3 linked regions of the Saccharomyces cerevisiae S288C genome follow. The gene in region 1 interacts genetically with each later gene. Each region holds a gene or a part of one and is shown in the gene's direction. Other genes may lie near its edges.

Region 1 (2,779 bases):
GAATGCTTATCTTTTTCCTTCGTTGAACAGTAATTTTTCATATTTAAATAAGTTGGAAATTCAATAAAATCGTCTAGTTTTCTGTTACTTCCATTAAGTAGGTGTTCGAATCTTTTCAATTGCAAAACCAAAACCGATGGTAATTTGTGTATGCCTAGTTGCTTTATTGCATCTTGAGTGCTGTTACACTCCCCACAATGATAGTTGAAATCCTTCAACTGTTCTTTTTTATGGAAACTGTCAAGACATTCATAAAGTTTTTTCTTATCCTTGATATCCAGAGAAAGATCCAAGAATGGATCAATGGTTGTCTTTGAATTATTTTGACAGCCTGGACACACAATAGAACTTTCCAAGGAGCCCTCAAACACAGTATGCACTATGCATTCACACTGCTTATTATTTGCTCTGCTGACTTCCTTGGCATTTGGCAAATCAAGAACATAGCTTTGGTGGATTTGGTTAATTATAAACTGCCAAAATTCATGAGCATCTTGTTGTGAATACCCTGCTAGATTTTGATTGATTTTCCAGGCACAAGTTAAAAGATATATGAATCCGGTTTGCCGATTAGTAGATGTAGATGACGAAGAAGCTTGCTTTGTATTCAGCGCTCCATAAAGTTCATGAACAATTTTATCGAGTGCACATGAAAAACATTTATCTGGAGAACGCACTTTACAATTATTAGAATGAATTTGACTCATTGAGTGCCTAATAAAGTAAGGGTTATGGATTAGACATTGGAGAATACTACTCATGAAACAAGTGGATCCCATGTTGATCAGGCCAGAAAGCCCATCTCTTCTTTCCATGCTAGGAACCATGGTCTTTGTGCACACGTCGTCCCAATACTTCGCTAGGATAGCATCGTTAATCAGATCGATATTCCCTATATAGTCCTCACATTTGAAGCAAAATAAAAGGCCATTATTTGAGTTGATACCAAATATGTGACCAATCTGTTTACTGTGAGAGAGAAAATGCGAATGGTTCCAACATCCACAAAATCCACATTGTAGACACATGAAAGTTGCACCAGAGTTTATTTCGTGGCATGTACCACATTTCATGGTGTTTAAGAATTTTTCCTTGGGTACGGAATGATTTAATATATACCTGGCAGCATTGCACGTTTTTAGAACCCCATCTTTAGACTTTTCATTCTGAAATACTTGCTGTATATGTGGACAAATGCTCATAATTATTAATAACAAATAAAAAAAGCAGGGTTTCAAGTAGGACGACGAGGACCGAAGCTGTAGTTTTCCCTTTTGATCCGATCAATAAATAGTATTCAAAATTATGACAGCCAGTTGAAAGAAATGGACTAACTGGTCTCAAAAGAAAACCTTTATTATTATCCGTAAAATATCTTTTTAGAATTAATCAGGTCCACTAATATAATCCCTTTGCTATTACGACAGCTTTCTAGCCCATATACAATATAAATTATTGATGCTTTTTACACACTATAATCGAGGATTTTTTTTCACTTGAAAAATTCAAAGAAAAGCAAAAAAAGGAAGAATAGAGAAGAAAAAAAAGGTATAAGTGAAGAAAGAATGTGCAATACTACAAGACTATAAGATTTAATAGCTGTAACCATGACGAAGAATGTATTGATGTTACATGGGCTTGCGCAGTCAGGTGACTACTTTGCCTCTAAGACAAAGGGGTTTCGCGCCGAAATGGAAAAGTTAGGATATAAACTCTACTATCCAACAGCACCCAATGAATTTCCCCCAGCTGATGTTCCTGATTTCTTGGGTGAGGTAATTGCTGATGCACCTGGGGATGGTGAGAATACCGGTGTGCTTGCGTGGCTAGAGAATGACCCTTCCACCGGTGGCTATTTCATACCGCAGACGACAATCGACTATTTACACAATTATGTCCTTGAAAATGGTCCATTTGCAGGTATTGTAGGATTTAGTCAAGGAGCCGGTGTAGCTGGATACCTAGCAACGGATTTCAATGGTTTGTTGGGCCTTACAACAGAAGAACAGCCGCCGCTAGAATTTTTCATGGCGGTCAGTGGTTTCAGGTTCCAACCACAACAGTATCAAGAACAGTACGACCTGCATCCAATATCGGTCCCATCTCTACATGTTCAAGGAGAACTTGACACTATCACAGAGCCGGCCAAAGTGCAAGGCCTATATAACTCTTGTACGGAAGACTCTCGCACTTTACTAATGCACTCTGGGGGCCACTTTGTGCCGAACTCAAGAGGGTTTGTGAGAAAAGTGGCTCAATGGCTCCAGCAGTTGACCTGAGGCAAGTATATATAGCACGTAATCTTCACATAATCTTCACATACATATTTATACATGATTAAATCCTCCGGGTAATAATACGTCAAATTAACTTAACTACCGATACGATGCTTCATTATGATAACGATAACAATGGCATCTATAAATGATTTTATTCCTCGTTAGGCCAGTATTAGGGCAGTAAAGACTGTAATGACCAGTACAAGAACGTTGAGATACGCACAGGTTGCCTGTGCTTGTATCTGGTGTCTTTTTTCAGCTGGTATTATCTTTGGATTTGCTGCTTTGAAACCTATTTTAATTTCAGAAGGTGTATACCATGAATTGTGTGATCCTAAGGATGGTGATAGATTATTATGTACTGCACAGGATCTGAAATTAAATTTTATATTTGCTCTCAGTGCTACTGTAACAAACATCATGGCCCTTCCTGTCGGTAAGATTTTGGATATGTATGGACCTCGTGTCTGCGGAATAATAGGATCATGTCTCTTGTTCCT
Region 2 (4,056 bases), on another chromosome or scaffold:
TAAGTACAGACAGAGGAATGATTAAACCTAAGACGAGGATAGTCCTTATGCATTATGAAAAGCAATTCAGGGCAGTTGAAGTCACATATATGGCTGCAAATCGAATATAACTTGTAATGTAGTTCAAAGTGGCCGGTAGCAATAAAAAGAAAGGTATCTCAACAACTTTATGTTTCACGTTATGAAAGAATATCGTTAACAGTCTCAACAGTGTCTGTTCTTATAATTTGGCATGAGTGTATGATGGTTGTTCTCTGTTGTTTCGGTACTATCAACGGTTATTATCATTGGACGCAAAAATATCGTTGGCGGCTAAATACGGGGGTGGCAAAGAGTTTGCGCCCGCGTTCAGTGGATACAAACAGTATAAGTAGGACAGGCGACATCTTTAGTAAATAGTACAGGAAAAGGAGGACTTATCAGGGTATCACACAAACAATGGTACAGAACAATGAATCGGTTTTTTTCGTTGAATGCGACTCTTATAAGGAGAGCCCTTCCACTTCACCAATACGCTTGGACGACCTGGATGGAAATGACGCTGTGTCGGATCAGGGTTTAGCTTTCGACGGGGACGTAGGAATTACATCACAAGCTCGAGTAAGAAATCCTCGAGCTCAAATCTTCGAGGATAGTAATACTGACGTAGTATTGCATTTGGATGATCTTGATATGGTCCCACTAAATACGAAGTTCGATATGCAGATGGAGATGGGTTCACCCATGGCGATGCCGGCAGAAACGCCACCTCCTGTCGAACCTTTAAAAACAAAAGATCTAGCATATTCATCCTTGGCTCACCTTCCTAGCTATTTCTTTGAGCAAACACATTTCCGCATAGACCGCAAATGCCTGTTGGAAATGTCTAAGTTAAGGCGAAATTATCTAACTATAAGTAAACAAGATGCTTTGTCATGTCCGCAGCTTCATTCAAGAGTGGCTGGGGGTTATCTTAAACCTGTAAAAGAAAAATTATTTGGAATACGTCACTTTCTTGATCTAGAGGAAAGTAATACTGTAAACCTCCTCCAGGATGGTAATTATATGACGGAATTGTTCAACAGTCAGATTAATATCCCCACTTTTAAAGAATTTAGGGAAGATTTTGAATGGTGCTTGAAAATTATAAGAGATAGAAGCCTATCAAGGTTTAGCGAAAAAAGATTACAATATCTTGTAAATAAGTTTCCAGTTTTTCAACACCTACATTCCAAGGAAGAAATGAGACAGAGCAAAAAGGTGCCACACAAGGATTTTTACAACTGTAGAAAGATTGATCTGAATCTTCTGTTAAGCGGCTGTTTCTCACAGTGGCAATTGACTGAGTTTATTTGGACCAAGTTGAGAAAAGAACCGGACAGGGTTATCCATCAAGCTTTTAATGGTAGTCATATAACCTTGAGCCAATTATTCAAAGTGAATTTCGAGGAGACCGGTCAGTTCTTCAATGGGTTGAAAATTATTGACGATTCATTTTTGGAGTGGTATAAAGTTATTTATCTCGCAAAATATCATTTGGTTAACGATGAAATGGAAATACACACAGGCTCACACGGTAAGCAGCTTCGATACTATTTGATTGCGAAAACATTTTTGGAGTTTGATAACTATATTAATGGTGAATACTTAGCGGAACTACTGAAAACGTTTTTAATAAAACCGCAAGAGGAGTCGAAATATCAGTTATGTCAACTCTCCGTGGACTTCCAATTTTATCTGCATTACGATAATTCCGATGTGGACAATTGGTGGATGGTCTTTGCCAATTGGCTGAACCACTATAATATATTTTCTAACAATATTCGCTGGAATATTCGCATTTCTAGAATTTATCCAGAACTGTATCATACTGGCAAGGTGAAGAATTTTCAGGAGTATTTAAATCTAATCTTCAAACCACTTTTCAATGCCGAAAATTATCTACACAAGTCATTAGGACCTATTCTTTTGAAATTTCTTTCTCAAGTATCTTCGATTGATCTATGTATTCAAGATACGGACAACTATATTTGGAAAAACTTCACAGCAGTTAGTTGCTTGCCAAAAGATTGGACATCTGGCGGTGATAATCCAACCATTTCACAATATATGTATTACGTCTACGTCAACCTAACAAAATTGAACCATATCCGCCAAGCCCTTCATCAAAATACCTTCACTTTGAGAAGTTCATGTTCTCCCACCTCAATGAATCGAACTTCACAGTTTAGTAATACACTGAACTTCACAGAACATACGGAAGCTATTTTAAACAATTTCTTGCTCGCCTGTGGAGGGTTTCTAAATGCAGAAAATCTCTGGAATGCACCACCATCACTGGTGTATCTTTTCTATCTAAGTCAAATTCCCATGGTTGTGGCGCCTTTGAATTCCATAGTAGATTCAAAGCCTACAATGCTGCAAGAACAAGCCCCGACGGGGCTTGTCCTAGAGCCCTCAAAGCCTTATAAGAAGAACCCTTTCATGAAGTTTTTTGAAATGGGGTTCAAGATATCGCTGAGCTCAGAATCTATCCTCTACAACAATTCGTATACGAAAGAACCCATTATAGAAGAGTATAGTGTAGCGGCTAGTATATACCGTTTACATTCAGCAGATTTATGCGAACTTCTAAGAAACAGTGTCATAACCAGTGGATTTTCAAGTACCCTAAAGAACAAATGGCTCGGCGTTTCCTTAGCCAGCCATGACTACTTCGTGGAAAACACTGGGTTTGTAGACAAGTGGTATGATTGTAAACCAAATACAAGTTTAGAGCATAACGTTCCGATCATCAGACGTCAATATCGCAGTAGCACTCTCGCAGGGGAGTGGCGACTCATAATTGCGTGAATTCGCTCATGTTTCTTCGAGGGGCGCATATTGTGACGCTAATATTATGTACCGCCCTTCCCCACACACACAAAAAAAAAAGGTTAAGGATAAAGATAAGTAAACTAATGGAATATATAAACAAATAAGTAAGTAGATACTGTAAATAGAACACACGTTTTTTAATTTATTTTTTTTTTTACATATCTTAATTTAATATAAATCAAAAAGCCCAAGCCTCAAACAAGAGTCTTATCACTCCATTTATAACATAACAATTCGAAATCTCTAAGCTCGCTTATAGTTGACAATGACCATATTTTCTAGGTTCTCATATTTTGATAGTCTATTCTCCTTTAAAAAGCAAGAGCCTTCCCCCATTGAAATAATCTATTGCAATGAAAACAATGGTTTCATAAACATAAAATCCTTAGAAAGCCCCACTGACGATAGCATGGAGGCGGACATTTCAGATAGAGAAATGGCTACAATCCTGACTAGAAACAGAAACAATTTGGGTAAGGTTGCCATTGATAAGAAAGGCGTTAATAATCATTGCATAGATTTGAATGAGCTGAAAAAGGGCCTTGTCGCCAATGAACACAAATTGGATAACGATAACTCAACACGGCACCAGAACACATATTCACCAGAGGATTCCGTGGAATTTGATAGGTTCGATGATAAACAAAGCAGAATACTAAAGTGTAGCACTAGAAGGAGCTACTTGAGATACAAGAAATAAGACAATTGAGCTGCTTCATTATATATCTTGATATAATCACCTTTCTTATCGTCAGAAAGAGTGTTCTCTATGTTTTTGTGCTTCCATAAATATATAGTTCAAAAAGTAATATCATATACTATTAATAATAAAAGTTATACTGAATATATTGATTAGTTCTATTAATTACTATTGACACACTTTGAATTCCCTTAAATTAACCCTCAGGAAGAAGGGGTCCTTAGGAAAATTTTTCTTTTTTCAATATAAAAGCGAGGAACAATGGATGGGAACAAAACCATGTTCAGCCTTTCAACAATTGGTAGAAGAAGCCAAAAAAAAAAAAAAAACAGAAACGCCAACCATGCACTTTTCTTTGAAGCAATTGGCTGTCGCTGCGTTTTACGCTACCAATTTAGGCTCTGCCTATGTCATTCCTCAATTCTTCCAGGAAGCCTTTCAACAAGAAGAGCCAATTGAGAATTATCTTCCGCAATTAAACGACGATGATAGCTCTGCCG
Region 3 (5,173 bases), on another chromosome or scaffold:
ACTCAGATCTTCGACTGACTTTATGCATTTTAGTATTTATATATTCATTCGATCTATTCTGTTTACTTAAAAATTAAAGATGAGTTGGATGTGGAAAATTCTTGACGTTCCGCTGATATTTTGTGTTGGGGTTGTTTTTGGGACCATGAGATTGCCATGAACCGATCAATCTTGTCTCATCTTCAAGTATCTCTTCACCACTTCATCCTTCTTGATGATGTATACTACAGCTCCCCAGCCTGATAGAGCGTCACGGTCAGCAGCATTCAGTAGGGCCTGACTTATAGTTTCGAAAAGATCTTCTGGCTCTAGATTAGGTTCGTACAGGGACTCACACATACCGAACAGTTGGTCGGATGCAGTACCGCTAACGATAAAATCCTTGGCCTCGTCGATACAGCCGATTAGGTCGAATCCCGCAATAAAGGGCTTCCCGGACTTGGAATTAATACCTGCTACCACCGGCCCCACAAAGTATGGACCGAATCTTCTTTCATAAAGTGAACTTGACACTAATTGGGTAAACGTTTCAGGCTCAATGGCCCTTTCTTCCTTCAACTTATATAGGTTCGTCTTGTAGCGGAACATCTCGTTCAGAGTAGTCACGTCGGTAGCCAGACCGGTAATCCCTAAGAACACATGCCCATAGTGGAAGATTTTTTCAAACTTGTTCGACACACCTAGTGACTGGCTTCCGAGACGCAAATCACAGGCAATGGCCACACAGTCTTTACCTGTCATCGCAACGACGATACCACCGTTAATAGAACTTGGATCCGACATTTTTTTTTTATGCTTTATTCACTGTTCAATATTTTCACCACAATTCGCAAGAAACGCACTCTACTTCGAAACTACGGTTCAAACTTACTTAGCAGCTTCCCGATTTAATTGGCCTTTCTACTATGCCATAAACTCTTTCTTCCTCTCTTTTCATCGCCCCTGCATTTGCACTTTTTTGCCACCGGCAGTGCCATCCGGTCACATGACTACACCACGTTAATAGCGATCTGGCTTATCATTGTCACAGAGTAAATTAAAATGGACGGTAAATGTTGGAAATGCACCACTACCGTTCTTCAACCAATCTAGTTTAGCTATCCTGCAACAGGTGGCCTTCTTGAGCATTCCCTGAGCATTCCAACCGGTTGTATCAGTGTTTTATCACCGTCTCACCATATCCCACGACTAGGCCACACTTCGTTACCCTATGCTACGCGTCATTTCCGCTATTTCTGTCCTGGTTTGTTTACAGTACGCGTGGTGGGACCATAAAGGGGAATAGTGGGGACTGGAGAAAAAATTTTCTCAGTTACTTCTTCTATCTTCCGTAGTTTCCATATACTAGTAGTTGAGTGTAGCGACAAAGAGCAGACGTAGTTATTTGTTAAAGGCCTACTAATTTGTTATCGTCATATGTCTCAAGTTCAAGAACAACATATATCAGAGTCACAGCTTCAGTACGGGAACGGTTCGTTGATGTCCACTGTACCAGCAGACCTTTCACAGTCAGTCGTTGATGGAAACGGCAACGGTAGCAGCGAAGATATTGAGGCCACCAACGGCTCCGGCGATGGTGGCGGATTGCAGGAGCAAGCGGAAGCGCAAGGTGAAATGGAGGATGAAGCATACGATGAAGCTGCCTTAGGTTCGTTTGTGCCAATAGAAAAACTGCAAGTGAACGGGATTACTATGGCGGATGTGAAAAAACTAAGGGAGAGTGGGCTTCACACTGCTGAAGCGGTAGCATATGCTCCCAGAAAGGATTTATTGGAAATCAAAGGTATATCGGAAGCTAAGGCAGATAAGTTGCTAAACGAAGCGGCAAGGCTAGTGCCTATGGGATTTGTCACGGCTGCTGATTTTCATATGAGAAGATCGGAGCTGATTTGTTTGACAACGGGTTCTAAGAATTTGGACACTCTTTTGGGTGGTGGTGTGGAAACTGGTTCTATTACTGAGCTTTTCGGTGAATTCAGGACAGGTAAGTCCCAGCTATGTCACACTTTGGCCGTGACATGCCAAATTCCATTGGATATTGGTGGCGGTGAAGGTAAGTGTTTGTATATCGATACCGAAGGTACTTTCAGGCCGGTAAGATTGGTATCCATAGCTCAGCGGTTCGGATTAGACCCGGATGATGCTTTGAACAACGTTGCGTATGCAAGAGCCTATAACGCCGATCATCAGTTAAGACTTCTGGATGCTGCTGCCCAAATGATGAGCGAGTCTCGGTTTTCCTTGATTGTGGTCGATTCTGTTATGGCTCTATACCGTACGGATTTTTCTGGTCGTGGTGAACTAAGCGCAAGGCAAATGCATTTAGCCAAATTTATGCGTGCTTTGCAAAGGCTGGCCGACCAATTTGGTGTTGCAGTCGTCGTTACTAACCAAGTGGTCGCCCAAGTTGATGGTGGTATGGCTTTTAATCCAGATCCAAAGAAGCCTATCGGTGGTAATATTATGGCACATTCTTCCACCACGCGATTAGGTTTCAAAAAGGGTAAGGGATGTCAAAGATTATGCAAAGTTGTTGACTCACCTTGCTTACCAGAGGCTGAATGTGTGTTCGCGATCTATGAAGATGGTGTTGGTGACCCCAGAGAAGAAGACGAGTAGGTATTTGGTCTCTTGTCTCTATTTATTTACACAGGTTTACTTTCAATTCTCCTCTTTTTCTTAGGTTGCGTTCCGTACATTTTTATCTTCATTTCCATCCACTGTCTTAGATTTTTGCATATATTTTGTCATATACCTCGCAACCCTACTGCGGTCTTAACCTTTTTTTTCAGTTCTTTTAAATAACTTTCGTATTGTCTGTCACCCATGAAATATATGTATTTTTCTACTCTTCTTCCCGATGACTACTTCCTCCTGCAGGGTCCGCGCGGCTTTATCCTTTTAGGGGAGTGAAGAGAAAAATTTTCTGATATGTCGCCATCCTCTTATAAAACCAACGTAAAATACCATACACTTCTTTATGGCAATGAATTTCCTTGTCTTCGTTTCGACGTTTTTAAATTGAATAAAAAATTGTACTTGGAAAAAAGAATAGAACAATACTTTTGCTAACAGCAAGAGAAGTACGGTTGACATTACGAGTATCCCTTTGTTAAAATCAGGCAGTACCCATAATGTCCATGACTATTTGCTCAAATACTCCTGGTGCATACCCTGAAATTGGAGCTTATAATGAGGTTGATAAACAGTTGGAATCAAGCGGATTCTCCTCTGATTCCTCTCTGATATTGAATAAACCAGAAGTTCGTCAATACTGGTCATCCGTTTCATCTCATATTTCACGCTCAGGTGATGTGTTTACAAATGATAAAGAAAAAATTTCATCCTCTATTGGTGAGGATGCGATGGATATCGACGCTTCGCCCTCATTGATTGAAAAATATAACTCTTTTCCCACAAGAAAGATTCTTCCTGAGCAGGACGAGTTTGAGAACGACGTTGAGGACGATGCTTCTTCCTCACTGAAGGAAAAATCACAAGGTTCTTGTGAAATTGAAATTGCTTCTGAAATTTCATCCGAAATTTTAAATGGCACATCGGCAGACGGTAATTCCGAGTTTCACGACTTCGCTGAGCCCCCTCCCTCTCAGAATGAATCTGTCGCTCTGTCTTTTAGTCAATCGAATGATTTGGACTTTTTGAATAATCCAAGCGGATCAGGCTCTTCAAACGATATCAATAGAAGTACAAGTTCCATTTCACTTCCTAGACATGTGTCACTAGATTTTAACGTTTACAATAGTCTTTGCCTCACAAATGAGGTGACTGCATCAGAATCACATAATGTGGCCAAATTTCACCTTGGCAAGAAAAACAAGAAGAGCTTGCTACCAAGATGGAAAACCATTGAAATGTACGGGGAGGTAGTTAAGAAAACTCAAGACATATATTCTAATTTTCAGTATGCACAATACATTTTAAGGGTAGGGTTGGATACCGAAAAACTACACGAACTTGTTAAGGAACTGGAGGATGAAAGCAATAGCTTCTCTGTAGATTCTTTAAAGGAATATTTAGTGAACGATGCCAAAGTTATTTTGAAGAAACTAAGTGCCGTTGGATACCCTGATGCACAGTACCTTCTAGGTGACGCCTACTCCTCTGGAGTTTTCGGTAAAATAAAGAATAGAAGAGCATTTCTTTTATTCTCCGCTGCAGCCAAAAGAATGCACATCGAAAGTGTTTACAGAACTGCCATTTGCTATGAGTGCGGCTTGGGTGTAACCAGAAATGCACCGAAGGCGGTTAACTTTTTGACTTTTGCTGCAACTAAGAACCATCCTGCAGCAATGTACAAATTAGGAGTATATTCGTATCATGGTTTGATGGGTCTTCCAGATGATATTCTAACCAAAATGGATGGTTATAGATGGTTGCGAAGGGCTACATCTATGGCTAGCAGCTTTGTTTGTGGTGCTCCTTTTGAATTAGCCAATATTTATATGACGGGATATAAAGATCTTATCATTTCGGATCCAGATTATGCTATGGCATTGTATGAGAAGGCGGCGGCTTTAGGGCATACTGAATCGGCAAGAATACTAGAAGACGCTCGCAGAAGTGGAGGGTTTGTTTCGCGAGGACATCCTCCTTCGGCACAGAAATATCATAAAACCTCCCATGAAGCTGTGGCAGCCAAAAAGTTGATTTAATAGATAAATACAAACTTCGTTTTCCTTTTATTTTGTTGTTTTTTTTTTCACAAACTGTGGAAGTTCGATTAACTTTAGAAGTTTGTTTGATCAAAAATAGACTGATCCTCACACCTTTCGTTACTATTTGTTACTTTGCTGTATATCGAATAAATAAACCTGACTAAACTCCTTCTGTTATTTAGCGCAGATCCTATATGCTGCATTTTTAGATGTATTTGAGCACTACTATCGTTAATGCCGTGGCATTGGCTATGGACCAGTTAAGTCACGGCCTTTCTTAGTTCTATCATATACGACGTTATACTTATTTACTTTCCCAGCGTTGAAATTAATGTGTCTTTTTCATAATATTTACTTTTTGGTGCGGAAATCTGTAATATTTTAAAACAAAATCTCATCCTTTTGAAAAGAAACGATGAAGAAAAAAAATAATAACATACATTGTACCTTCACTAACACTTGTAAAACAAACGCTTACATTATAATGGCACAAATGA

What was found.
Region 2: mutations in FSH2 (region 1) and HAB1 together harm fitness more than expected from each alone (negative genetic interaction), as found in Saccharomyces cerevisiae (one large-scale study listed by BioGRID).
Region 3: mutations in FSH2 (region 1) and SHC1 together harm fitness more than expected from each alone (negative genetic interaction), as found in Saccharomyces cerevisiae (one large-scale study listed by BioGRID).

What each region holds. Positions count from the first base shown.
Region 1 is NC_001145.3:715,138-717,916, reverse strand, and holds FSH2 (putative serine hydrolase), read left to right. Parts: upstream 1-1,607; coding exon 1,608-2,279; downstream 2,280-2,779. Other genes in the region: ubiquitin-specific protease UBP8, read right to left, coding at 1-1,202; FMP42 (Fmp42p), read left to right, coding at 2,472-2,779. UniProt on the Saccharomyces cerevisiae protein: Serine hydrolase of unknown specificity.
Region 2 is NC_001134.8:770,801-774,856, forward strand, and holds HAB1 (Hab1p), read left to right. Parts: upstream 1-3,121; coding exon 3,122-3,556; downstream 3,557-4,056. Other genes in the region: YBR284W (metallo-dependent hydrolase superfamily protein), read left to right, coding at 439-2,832; APE3 (aminopeptidase Y), read left to right, coding at 3,900-4,056.
Region 3 is NC_001137.3:348,564-353,736, forward strand, and holds SHC1 (Shc1p), read left to right. Parts: upstream 1-3,134; coding exon 3,135-4,673; downstream 4,674-5,173. Other genes in the region: PUP3 (proteasome core particle subunit beta 3), read right to left, coding at 166-783; recombinase RAD51, read left to right, coding at 1,417-2,619. UniProt on the Saccharomyces cerevisiae protein: Required for the activation of chitin synthase III (CHS3) activity during the sporulation process.